Linked DNA regions of Caenorhabditis elegans. The protein of the gene in region 1 interacts with the protein of each later gene in a pairwise test. Each region holds a gene or a part of one and is shown on either strand. Other genes may lie near its edges.

Evidence for each region.
Region 2: the proteins of K10D6.4 (region 1) and lin-39 interact in a two-hybrid assay, tested with the Caenorhabditis elegans proteins (3 studies listed by BioGRID).

The regions. Positions count from the first base shown.
Region 1 is NC_003283.11:11,199,872-11,205,023, forward strand, and holds the start of K10D6.4 (Maelstrom domain-containing protein), read left to right. Parts: upstream 1-2,053; coding exon 2,054-2,195; intron 2,196-2,409; exon of another isoform or gene 2,410-2,549; intron 2,550-4,620; exon of another isoform or gene 4,621-4,799; intron 4,800-5,149; exon of another isoform or gene 5,150-5,152. Other genes in the region: K10D6.3 (TPX2 domain-containing protein), read left to right, coding at 794-822, 1,064-1,154, 1,199-1,282, 1,333-1,521.
Region 2 is NC_003281.10:7,533,545-7,538,462, reverse strand, and holds the start of lin-39 (Homeobox protein lin-39), read left to right. Parts: upstream 1-1,830; 5' UTR 1,831-1,873; intron 1,874-3,762; coding exon 3,763-4,062; intron 4,063-4,918. UniProt on the Caenorhabditis elegans protein: Transcription factor.

The DNA.
Region 1 (5,152 bases):
AGTGTTGAATGAGAAGGAGGATGAATGAGGAGAAGGATGAGGATAAGATTGTATTGTGATAAACATTCCATCCGAAAGGATATTATAGGTCTACCGATTGTTTCCGAAGGATTTATTCAGAAAAAGATTGAAATCTGAAGAGGATTTTGTCTTGGTTGGAACTAATGTGTAAAGGTGACAAAAATAATTACTATTTAAAATTATAATTTTTCAAGGCGGAAAATAAAAATTATATGTAGTTAGATTTGAGTAAACTAAGGAATTCGTAACGACAATGGTGTTAATACCTGCCGAGATTTGTGATCCTTACCTGTTAAATTCTGAAAAACGACTATTCATAATTAATATATTTACCTCCACGTGTAAAATAGCAAAGACTTGAAATTATTGTCAAATCATTAAAACTGCCATATGAAACGTAAATTAGTAAGCGAATAACGGGTTAAAAAATCAACAACAAATATCATCAGCATGCTCAAATTGGATAGACTTGGTTTTGCAGAAAAATTGGCATGCAACACTATTAGAAACTACAGTAAAAATTTTTGAACGATGAGTAAGCGTGTAATAATAGAAAATATAATCTAGCCGTAAAATCATTGCAATAAGTTTTTTTTTTCCAAAAAAAAATTCACGTAGTTCTTATATTTGAAATCTGCGAAGTAAACTTTTCATTTCACAATTGGAACAGATTTTGGTGAGTACTTTAATTCTCCTTATTGTAGAATGTTTCCATTTTAGATTTTTCAATTGTAAATTTATTCAAAGGTTTTGTATTCTCAAGCATTCGATTATGCAATTTGGATATTTTTTCGAATTAGAGTAAGTCTTCAAAAACTAATTTAAAAATATCATAAAATTGCCCATTTAAAGGTACACAAAATTGGCCAGCGTTTTGTTATTTTTTCTTTCCGCCGTATTCACGATTTCATTGTGTTCAAAAAAGAAAAAAAGGTCAAAGGAAACTCTAAGCAGATCGCCGGCAACTAGCCCTGTACTATCGCAAAAATCGAATTTGGAACGAAATCTTTCATTATCACCAGCGAAATCACCATGTTCTCAGAGTCCACCTGACCACGAAAAAAACTCCTTCTCCTAAATCGCCAAAAGAAAAGACCGATGAGGATAAAGTGCTTAGATCATCAAGAGAAAAGGTCTGAATATAATTTTTAATTGAGAAAACATTTTATTTTGCCAGATCGAAAGAGAACTTCAAGTTATGTCAACCCAGCCTTCTCATCCGTCCTCTTCAAATGATCTTGATTCTTCAATTGGAACTGCTGTAAGAAAGTTTAAAAATTTTATGACAAATCTCCCAATAAATTATTTCAGAGAATTGAAGTGGTTTCGGTTCCCGTCAAGCCGAGAAACAAATTTTCAACCACGCCGGTTAAGCGTGTTGAAATGAAGAAGAGCAAAGAGTCAGATTCAGTCGATAAAGCTCTGAAAGTGAAGTCTAGCCTGGATTGCATGAAATTGGAAAAACCTGCACCGACTACTTGTGAAATGAAGGCTGCATGAAAATGAACTTTTTTCTTTTCAAGATTAGTGAAATGAAAGTTTTAGTATTTCATATCTGATTTTATAATTAAAATAAACTTAATTTTTACAAAGAAAACACAGCGAGACAATCACAATAAATTCGATTCTGAGTTTGAAACTTTGGTGAGTAGATATGATTTTGATAAACAAAAACGAAAAATAAAGTATTTCAAAATTTTTATAGTTTTGTAATGCAATGTTGCCAGTAGTGAGCATAATTTTAAAAATTCATGACTTATATTTCTGGCTATTGCCGGTTTCTGGTGGCAATCGTCGATTATCGATCTTTTTCAAACATGATTTAAAGAAAATTCCGAAATTTCGTAAAATACTTAGTTTTTAACGATCTTGTCTACAAACTTTTTGTTAGCATAAAGTCAGATCAACGTTAATTTTTTGAAACCATTTTTGTAGGATAATTAATGTATTTTTGCGTGGTTTTCTTTGTTTCGAATAATGTTTTCTTGTGACTCCTGTTTTCATTCTGATATAATTCACCTGCACAATTCATATGAAACAAGTTCCTTTTACCCTTGATCACAAACAGCAGTACATATGCCGGTCTTTCAATGATCAGATCGCCCTCAAAACGTGTGACAGATGCTTTCAATTCGTGGAATCCAACTGTATTTTCACCTGTTCACTCCCTCTTGGTATGTTCGGTTTACGTAACTTTTTCATGTTTTTCCGCTTTTCGACTCGAAAATATTTTTCGCACGGTACCACTTTCATTTCTATTTTTCCATTCATTTTTTGAATACAACACATAAAGTGTCATTGTAATGCAAATTCATGTGAAAAATGACACCCTTTTCGGACGCCGCCAGTTGAATTTTAGAGCAAAAATGAAAATGAGTGGAGCAGTTTGAAAATATTTCGGGAAATTTTTATTACCTTTAAGACCGAACTAATCGTCATTTTACCGTTTTTACTCTCAAAAGAGCGATAATGGGTGAATTGTATTATTTACGACCCAGCTGTAAATAGATAAGAAACAGTGAACCCATCGTTGTAGACGCGTAAAAGTTTTTGTCTATGGCTATATCTTATACCGTATGCCAGTTACCTACCATAAATCTATTAATTTCTTTTTCACCTTCCTAGCGAATTGTTATCTTTCGATCCAGGTTTATGGTTATTAATTGCTGAATCAAAAATGATACGATAACCTATTTGGCACCTATTTTGTATGGTTTTTTGTGAAGCATTTCATTTGTTTCTTTTTCTCTTTGTCATGTAAGAAGAATGTTAGTCCAAAAACATATTTCCCTAGTTTTTAAATGGTCAAGTTCACAAAGCTCAAATCTTGTTTCGGAAAATATTTTCATCTCGTTTTCATTTTCAAAGGATTATGTCTCTCAATATCCTGAAAATTAGTTTTGGAGAATCCTTTACTATGATTGACAAGTAATCCTTATTTTACAGCGACTCAGGTGTTATTGCTTGTATAGAGGCTCACTGGGTTTTCTGAGTGTTTATAGTTGAATTCAATTGCAGTTTGTCCCACAACGTTTAGGAAAAAGTTATAATAGTAATAATTAGCTTCTTCTCACTGTTTTCACAGAAATTTCCTTCATTTGCTCGAGAAACCATCGCATTTGTTCAAGAGTGTCACCCATTTCTTTGTTTGTAAACTCTTTATTTTCCCTCACTCTCCTTCTGATTGCTTCCAAAAAGATAATCGGATTAACAGGTGTCTGATTACAGTCACTCGTCTACTTTGTCCACTGTATAAAATGACCGTATGCATTGTGATCTCAAGAAGGCACTACCACTCGAAATGTCACTAATACCCACTACTCAAGTACCACTTGTCCTACACCTTGATACAAAAGTTCCAAGAACTTCTCAGTATCCATTGACTTCGGTCCTTTTTCGGGAAGATGTCTTTCAGATGAAGGATATTCATTTTGTTTCTTCGCTTTTGACCTTTCCCATTGTATTTTGTGTATTAGTTTTTAAAATTCTTTCCTATAACTTTTCAAAAAAAAATTTTGGACATTTTTCCTCAAAGTGCACAAATATCTAGAATCGAATTTTCCACGCACTTTTAATTTAAAAAAAAACTTTAGAAAATCTAGCAAAATTGTAAGAAAAAGGACATGTGAGTTTAACTTTTTTGAATAGTTGTTCTGGAATCTTTTTGTGGGTTTACACTATTTTTTGAATGTTTAAAGTGCTTTCAAAAATACTGTTTGAAAAAAACATAAACGTATTAGCAGTTGCCCCGACACTTAAAAATATCCAAATTATTTTTTTTTCAATTCCTTTTTGAAATTTATGTCAGTTTCTATTATTGCTTTACTTAATCAAAATCTTACAAAACTATTTTGAATTGATATATCTTGCAAGAAGCCTTTGTATAAATTAACAAAAAGCTCTTATTAACTAAAACCTTATGAATCAACCTGGACAATACTCTTGGTGGTCCCTATAATTTCGACCACCTGCTGATGCTGTTCCTGCAACTGCTCATCATTTGTTCCTTTTTCCTCACCCACTTTTCCATTAAATATCATCTTCCAGAGGACTCCCCACCGCGAGTTATGCATTCTCCCTTGATCTCAAATTTCCGTTTTATTTTCCTTTTGTTTATGTCAAGTCTTCTCTGTTATCAACTGACTATAAAGAGTGGGAGTATAGATTCTAGAATCTCAATAATTGAGGAAACCCTGGGGAAGGATCCCATGCTTTAATAAAGTAATTTGTTAGCCATCCGCTGTAAATATTATTCAGACTGATCACAAGGAAATTATAAAGCAATCATATGTTTGTGACGAGTTGGTGACGTCGAAAGATATTGTATACTTCTTTCAAATGAGTAGAAACAAATTTATATCCGCTAATTTTTTAAAGACTACAGTTAGGTCATTTTGATTTAAACGCACCAAGAAGTGTATTCAGAATTTTCGATGAAATCGTGGAGATTTGATAAAAAAGGTTATATTATGAATTTTCGTTTATTTCTTTTATTTATTATTCATTAATGTTATAACCATTAGAACAACAAGATAACTTGAAAATTCAAATATGATTGTCATCTAACCCCCCACTTTGTGAAAGCAACATTTTTTTCTCTTCGTTCAAGTTTTCGACAAGTTCTTCAACATGTACATTTGGATTGAGCACGCGTGCCTTGGAGCCTGATTGACTGTCATAAATTATACGGAAAGGTGAGAGTAGATTAGGACAGTCGTTACACACTGCTTTTCCGACGATGCAATTCAATTTTATTGCTTTGATTGGCTCCCAGGCTTCTAGAATTAGATTAGTTGGTGCCCAGTGGTAGTGGTGGTGATAAAACTTTTGGAATGGACTCAAGAATTATGTGTTTTTTCTTTAAATTTTTCCCCTGGAGACTCTCAATACTAGAAGAAAAACTGGAGCAAAAGAGGAAGTAATATGGGAATATTTTGTGGATTTCACTTTGAGACATTTATTATTTTACCCTAATTGTCTACGCTACTAAATCAAATAGTATCACAGACAGGTATTACTGTTCGAAGAGCTAAAAAAAGATCAGTAGAGATCTTTATTTTCTAGAAAGAGAGAGAGAGAGAGACCATATTTCAACAGCTGCATTTTGAAAAGTTTTACTTAAACTTACATC
Region 2 (4,918 bases), on another chromosome or scaffold:
TTACGCTAAAGTTTCCAGATGCTTATATTCTAGATCTTTTGAACCCTTTTCGTTTGACTTTTTCAGATATAGTTCATAACTCCAATTTTCCAAACTCGCTACCTCTTTTCTCATTTTTCACCAGGCATCCCCCGGTGGTTCAATTTCCTTTCCTTTCATTTCTTTTTTGTCTTATGCTTCAATGTATTCATTACTTTTCCCTCTTTTTCTCGTCATTTGATTAATGAACTTCCTACTGTAACTCATTCTATCTCGTTTCTGTTTGCACTAGATTGGAAGACCAAAAAAAATCAAAATGAGGAATTGTCGAACATCAATTTGTAAAAGAGAGAAGATCCCTACACTTCTTCAACCTATTTTTTCTTGATTCGTGTACCTACAAATGAGTAATTGGATGCCATTCATTCCACACTTCTTGATGCTTCCTGACACTCATAAATCACTGTAAAAGAGACAGGAAATAGACTTGAGTCAATTGCATAATCACTTACTAATCATTTACTCACTTTTTTTTTTTATTTATTACCACAGTGTTATGCAATTCTTATCTCCTTATCTATACTGTGAGAGGTGTGAGGATATTGGATCATTTATAGATTGAGAAAACTGATAATGAAATAAAAAATGTGATGTGTTTGGGTTATTTCCTTTTATAGTACATTATCATGTGTTGTGGCTCTGAGAATTTGTAATTCTCTATGTACTGTTAATTTGAAAATTTTATTTTAATCAAAAAATTAAAAAAGACTTTCAAAGTTAACAAAAGTAACACATTTTAAGTTTTATAAATAGTTTAAATATCTCTGTTTGCATGTTTACAGTAGGGAACTTCTAGAACTTTATTCTTTCATTTTGTAAGAGGCGTTGGAATCAATTCAGTTGCAGTTGGCATTTCTGAAACCTCAAGTTTCGGGAACTTTTACTTTTAAGAACAAGGTGAGGCACTGCTGGAAATCTCGAAGCAATTTCAGATGCCTTGCAAAATCTTGAAAACATATTAAGCGTATGCTTCAGTTGTAGACTTTTATATTTAGGTATCTTGACAATTCCAAAAAATAGTGTTTGGTGTCGACCAAGTATTGATAACATTTAATTTAGCTAGAAATAGCTAGAAGCTTAAATTTTTAGAAAATCTGATCAATGACCTAGAAAAACTTCAACGTTTTTCAAAATTCCCATAACGCCGTTTTAAAATTTCACAGAAATTCGTCTTTTGGTCATTTGAACTTTTTGTGCATACCAGGCATTTGGCTCAAAAAGCGGACTATCAGATGTTGGCAAAAGTTGGTAAGAGCTTTGACAATACTTGTCTTAGACTATGTTGTCGAAACCTTGCTCAATTTCTGCTCAAGTTTTAGCCCAAAGCCGAGATACTCTCCCTTTTTGCCATTTTTCCAATTTTCATGTAACAATTCCATATCTATAAAATCAGAGAGTTCATAAAATTGAGCACATTTCGACTGACTCTTGACAACTTGTCCAATGGGAAAAAGTTGGTCAAGATTTTGTTCCTAAAAGCGGCAACTTAAAAGCGAAAATTCATTCTGCTCAACTCTTCTACTCTTGGAGCCCAAAAGCTTACGGTACCTGTCGTTCTCACCCCATGTCCATCCAGCGCTGTCAGTGATGAATTGAAAAGGCGAGAGCAAGAGATGTGCTCTCGGCTCCACGAACCTCTTTGATCTATGCCGACAGTGGGGGAGATTGGAGAAGAAGCATGCTCCACCCTTCACGTGTATCAGTACGTCTGCGTCTTCTTGTGCGTGCCGCCCGGATTAGAAGACATGAAGTGGGAGGGCGATAGAGGAAATTCCGATGGCAATACCAACAATAGAATTTTGGCAACATTTTTTTACGACCTTCTAGAATTAAGGTAAATCTCTCTTTTTTTAAATCCACTCCTGGCACAAAGCTTCTCAAAGTTCTAAATGAAACTGGAACTTAACTTTAAATAAGTTGAACCTAGAGGTCACCTGAAAAAGTTATAGGAAAATTCTCTACTATTTAAAACGTAGTCTTTAAATTTTGCAAGTTATGTACTTCAAATATCAATTTTCCACCTTTGTGGCAGAAAACGTTTAAAATCTAGTTTATTTCGGAACCCTCTTATATTTTCGCAAAGTTATCGACTAAATTTCAGTATTTGAAACATTTTTAGATACTCGGCTTTGGCTTCTGCTGTTTTTTTTTTGTTGTAGGAATTTATTCAAATTACCTGCGTTCCGAAAAAACATTTTATGTTGCATTATTGGAGAATATACCATTGAAAAATTGAAAACATATCTGGAAGAAATGAGCCCAGATTAGATGTTGCACTTTATGAGGCGTTGCGAAGGCGCCTTTTTACCGTGTTCCCGTTATTCTGCCGATCATTTAAATAAATTGAATCTCACCCTCGTTTAATTTGTGAATCATAGAAGAAAACAAAATGTAATCTTACTTTAAAAAAGCTATTATCACAACTTTAAATTATCCAACTTAAAAGCTTCATTGTCAGGTGTGTGCGACAAATCTACCGAAATTGCTGAGTTCGTCAAATTTCGAGGATTGCCCACAGCCTCAATATTTCTGAAATTTCATTTTGTAATCAGTAGTCACATAAATATTCAAGACATGGAGAATGTGTGGAATAGTGTTAGGTAACATTTCAGAGCTTAGGCCTACAGAGAAAACACATAAAGACTTCTAGTCCATACTTCTTCTTGACCTCATAGATTGCTTACTAGTTTATATAAAGCTATTTAGAGCAATTATCCAATCTTATAAGGTAAAACCCGCGGGTCTTAAACCATGACCACCCACTTGAGCACACCCACAAAAACAATTCGTCTCTCGCAGATTGCTCCTCAATTTATCACCATCATCTTTTCTCTCTCCATTTCCAACTCTTTACTTTTCTTCTCTTTTTGTTCTGTTTCCGTTCTTAAGCTTTTGTTGTTTTCCTAGTTTTAATGATTTCCTAAGGATTAGGTACAAGTAGTTGATAGGTTGATCTAATTCCTTTTGATGAATGCAGTAATTAAAAAAAACAAGGTTCTTAAATTAAAATTTAAAATCTATCAAACGGTAATTATTGCTAATTCGTGTTCTGAAATTTATTGGTTTCAATTATATGTGCCCAGGAATTTTAATAAATTTTAAAGCTCTGATCACCTGTAAAAGAAATTGATGGTTGCTGAAAGTTCTTCAAAATTTTAAGAACTGAATCATCGTATTTAACTTTTGTGTTGAAAATTTGGGCTCTTGGGAGATATTGATCCGGTCATTGATTGCGATTGTACACGTATCTCTGAATTCTAGACTAGCAGCACAAATTGTTAGTTTTCTTGCTCTCACTACAATTGTTCAAATTTAAATACCTATTCTACTAGTTATTCGGTTTTTGAAGATATGTAGACTTTAGGAATATCTGAATGATCTACTTCAATGAAAAAAATTTGATCTCTTTTTTTAACTACTGCATTCATCTCTATCGTCCTCTTATTCTATTCCCTCATCCCTTCCGCTTTCTGAGACTCCACCCTTCGTCCAATAGGAGAAATGGGCGGGATCGGGGAAGGATGGCGCCCGGTATTCTGTCTCTTTTGCAATGGAAGAAAAGAGGAGAAAGAGGGAGACGTCACATTTTTAACAAATGTTCAACCGCCCCGACGCGCCTCTCGTCCTCATTTATTATATCACCTCGTTTCCCCTCCCTCCCCTCATCTTTTCATCTCTTTTCAATCAATTCTTATCAATCACTTTCACTCGTTTTCACTCCAGATGACCACATCAACATCACCGTCATCCACAGATGCACCGAGAGCTACAGCTCCTGAATCAAGCTCTTCGTCTTCATCCTCATCTTCTTCATCATCATCCACATCTTCTGTGGGTGCATCTGGAATTCCATCATCTTCTGAATTATCGAGTACAATTGGATATGATCCAATGACAGCGTCTGCTGCACTTTCTGCTCATTTTGGAAGTTATTATGATCCGACTAGTTCTTCTCAAATTGCTTCATATTTTGCCTCAAGTCAAGGACTGGGAGGTCCTCAATATCCAATACTCGGAGATCAGGTTAGTTACGAAACTTTAAAGGTAATTTTTAAAACAGTATTATATTTAAAAAAAAAACACTACAAATTTAAGTAGATGAAATGATATTTTAGAAAAGTTCAGCAATTTCGAATTTCGTAATCTTTTTAAGTTCTCTGAACGTCACCATACTTTAAGCAAGAGTTGGAGCGTTATAGTTAGGAAGCTCCTCTATTGGCAAAAATTAAATTTGTGTAAAATTTTAATAACTAAAATAGTGTGTGATTCGGGATAATTAAAATAAAGGAATGCTCACAGATTTATAGAAAGTCACAATTTTTTATTTGCCGCACTTTTGACAACCTTCAAATAATTCTAGTTTCTGCAAAGCGCTGAGACCGATTTGGTTAACTTTTGCTAATCGAATTTAATTTCTGAAAACAAACCATTTTGAAAAATAAACAGGTGCTCAGAGACAATTAGTTCTTGAAACATTTCGGGTCCATGTGGAATTTAAATTTCTTGAAAGTTTTTTTTTATTTCATCTGTTTTTTTTTAATTCAAAAGTTCTAACACCCTTTTGGCGCCTCCCACTGGTTTGAAACTTCTGTCATTTCCCGCCAAAAATTGAAAATCAATCAATTCCTCAGCGTTTCTGAAAATAATCTGACAACGCGATCAATTTTATTTTCTCTTTTGAAGTGAGTGGACTGGCGCCTGGTGACTACCATTGGAAGAGTAGGAATTGAAATAAAATTTATGAGAACGAGTTACAAAATGGAGAATAAGAGGAAGAAGAGTATTCAGATTGAGATTAATGATCGTTCCATCGATTTTTGTACTTTTTTAGATTCACAATTGGAAGCTGCAAAAACCTCCAAGCACTGGTACTAACTAT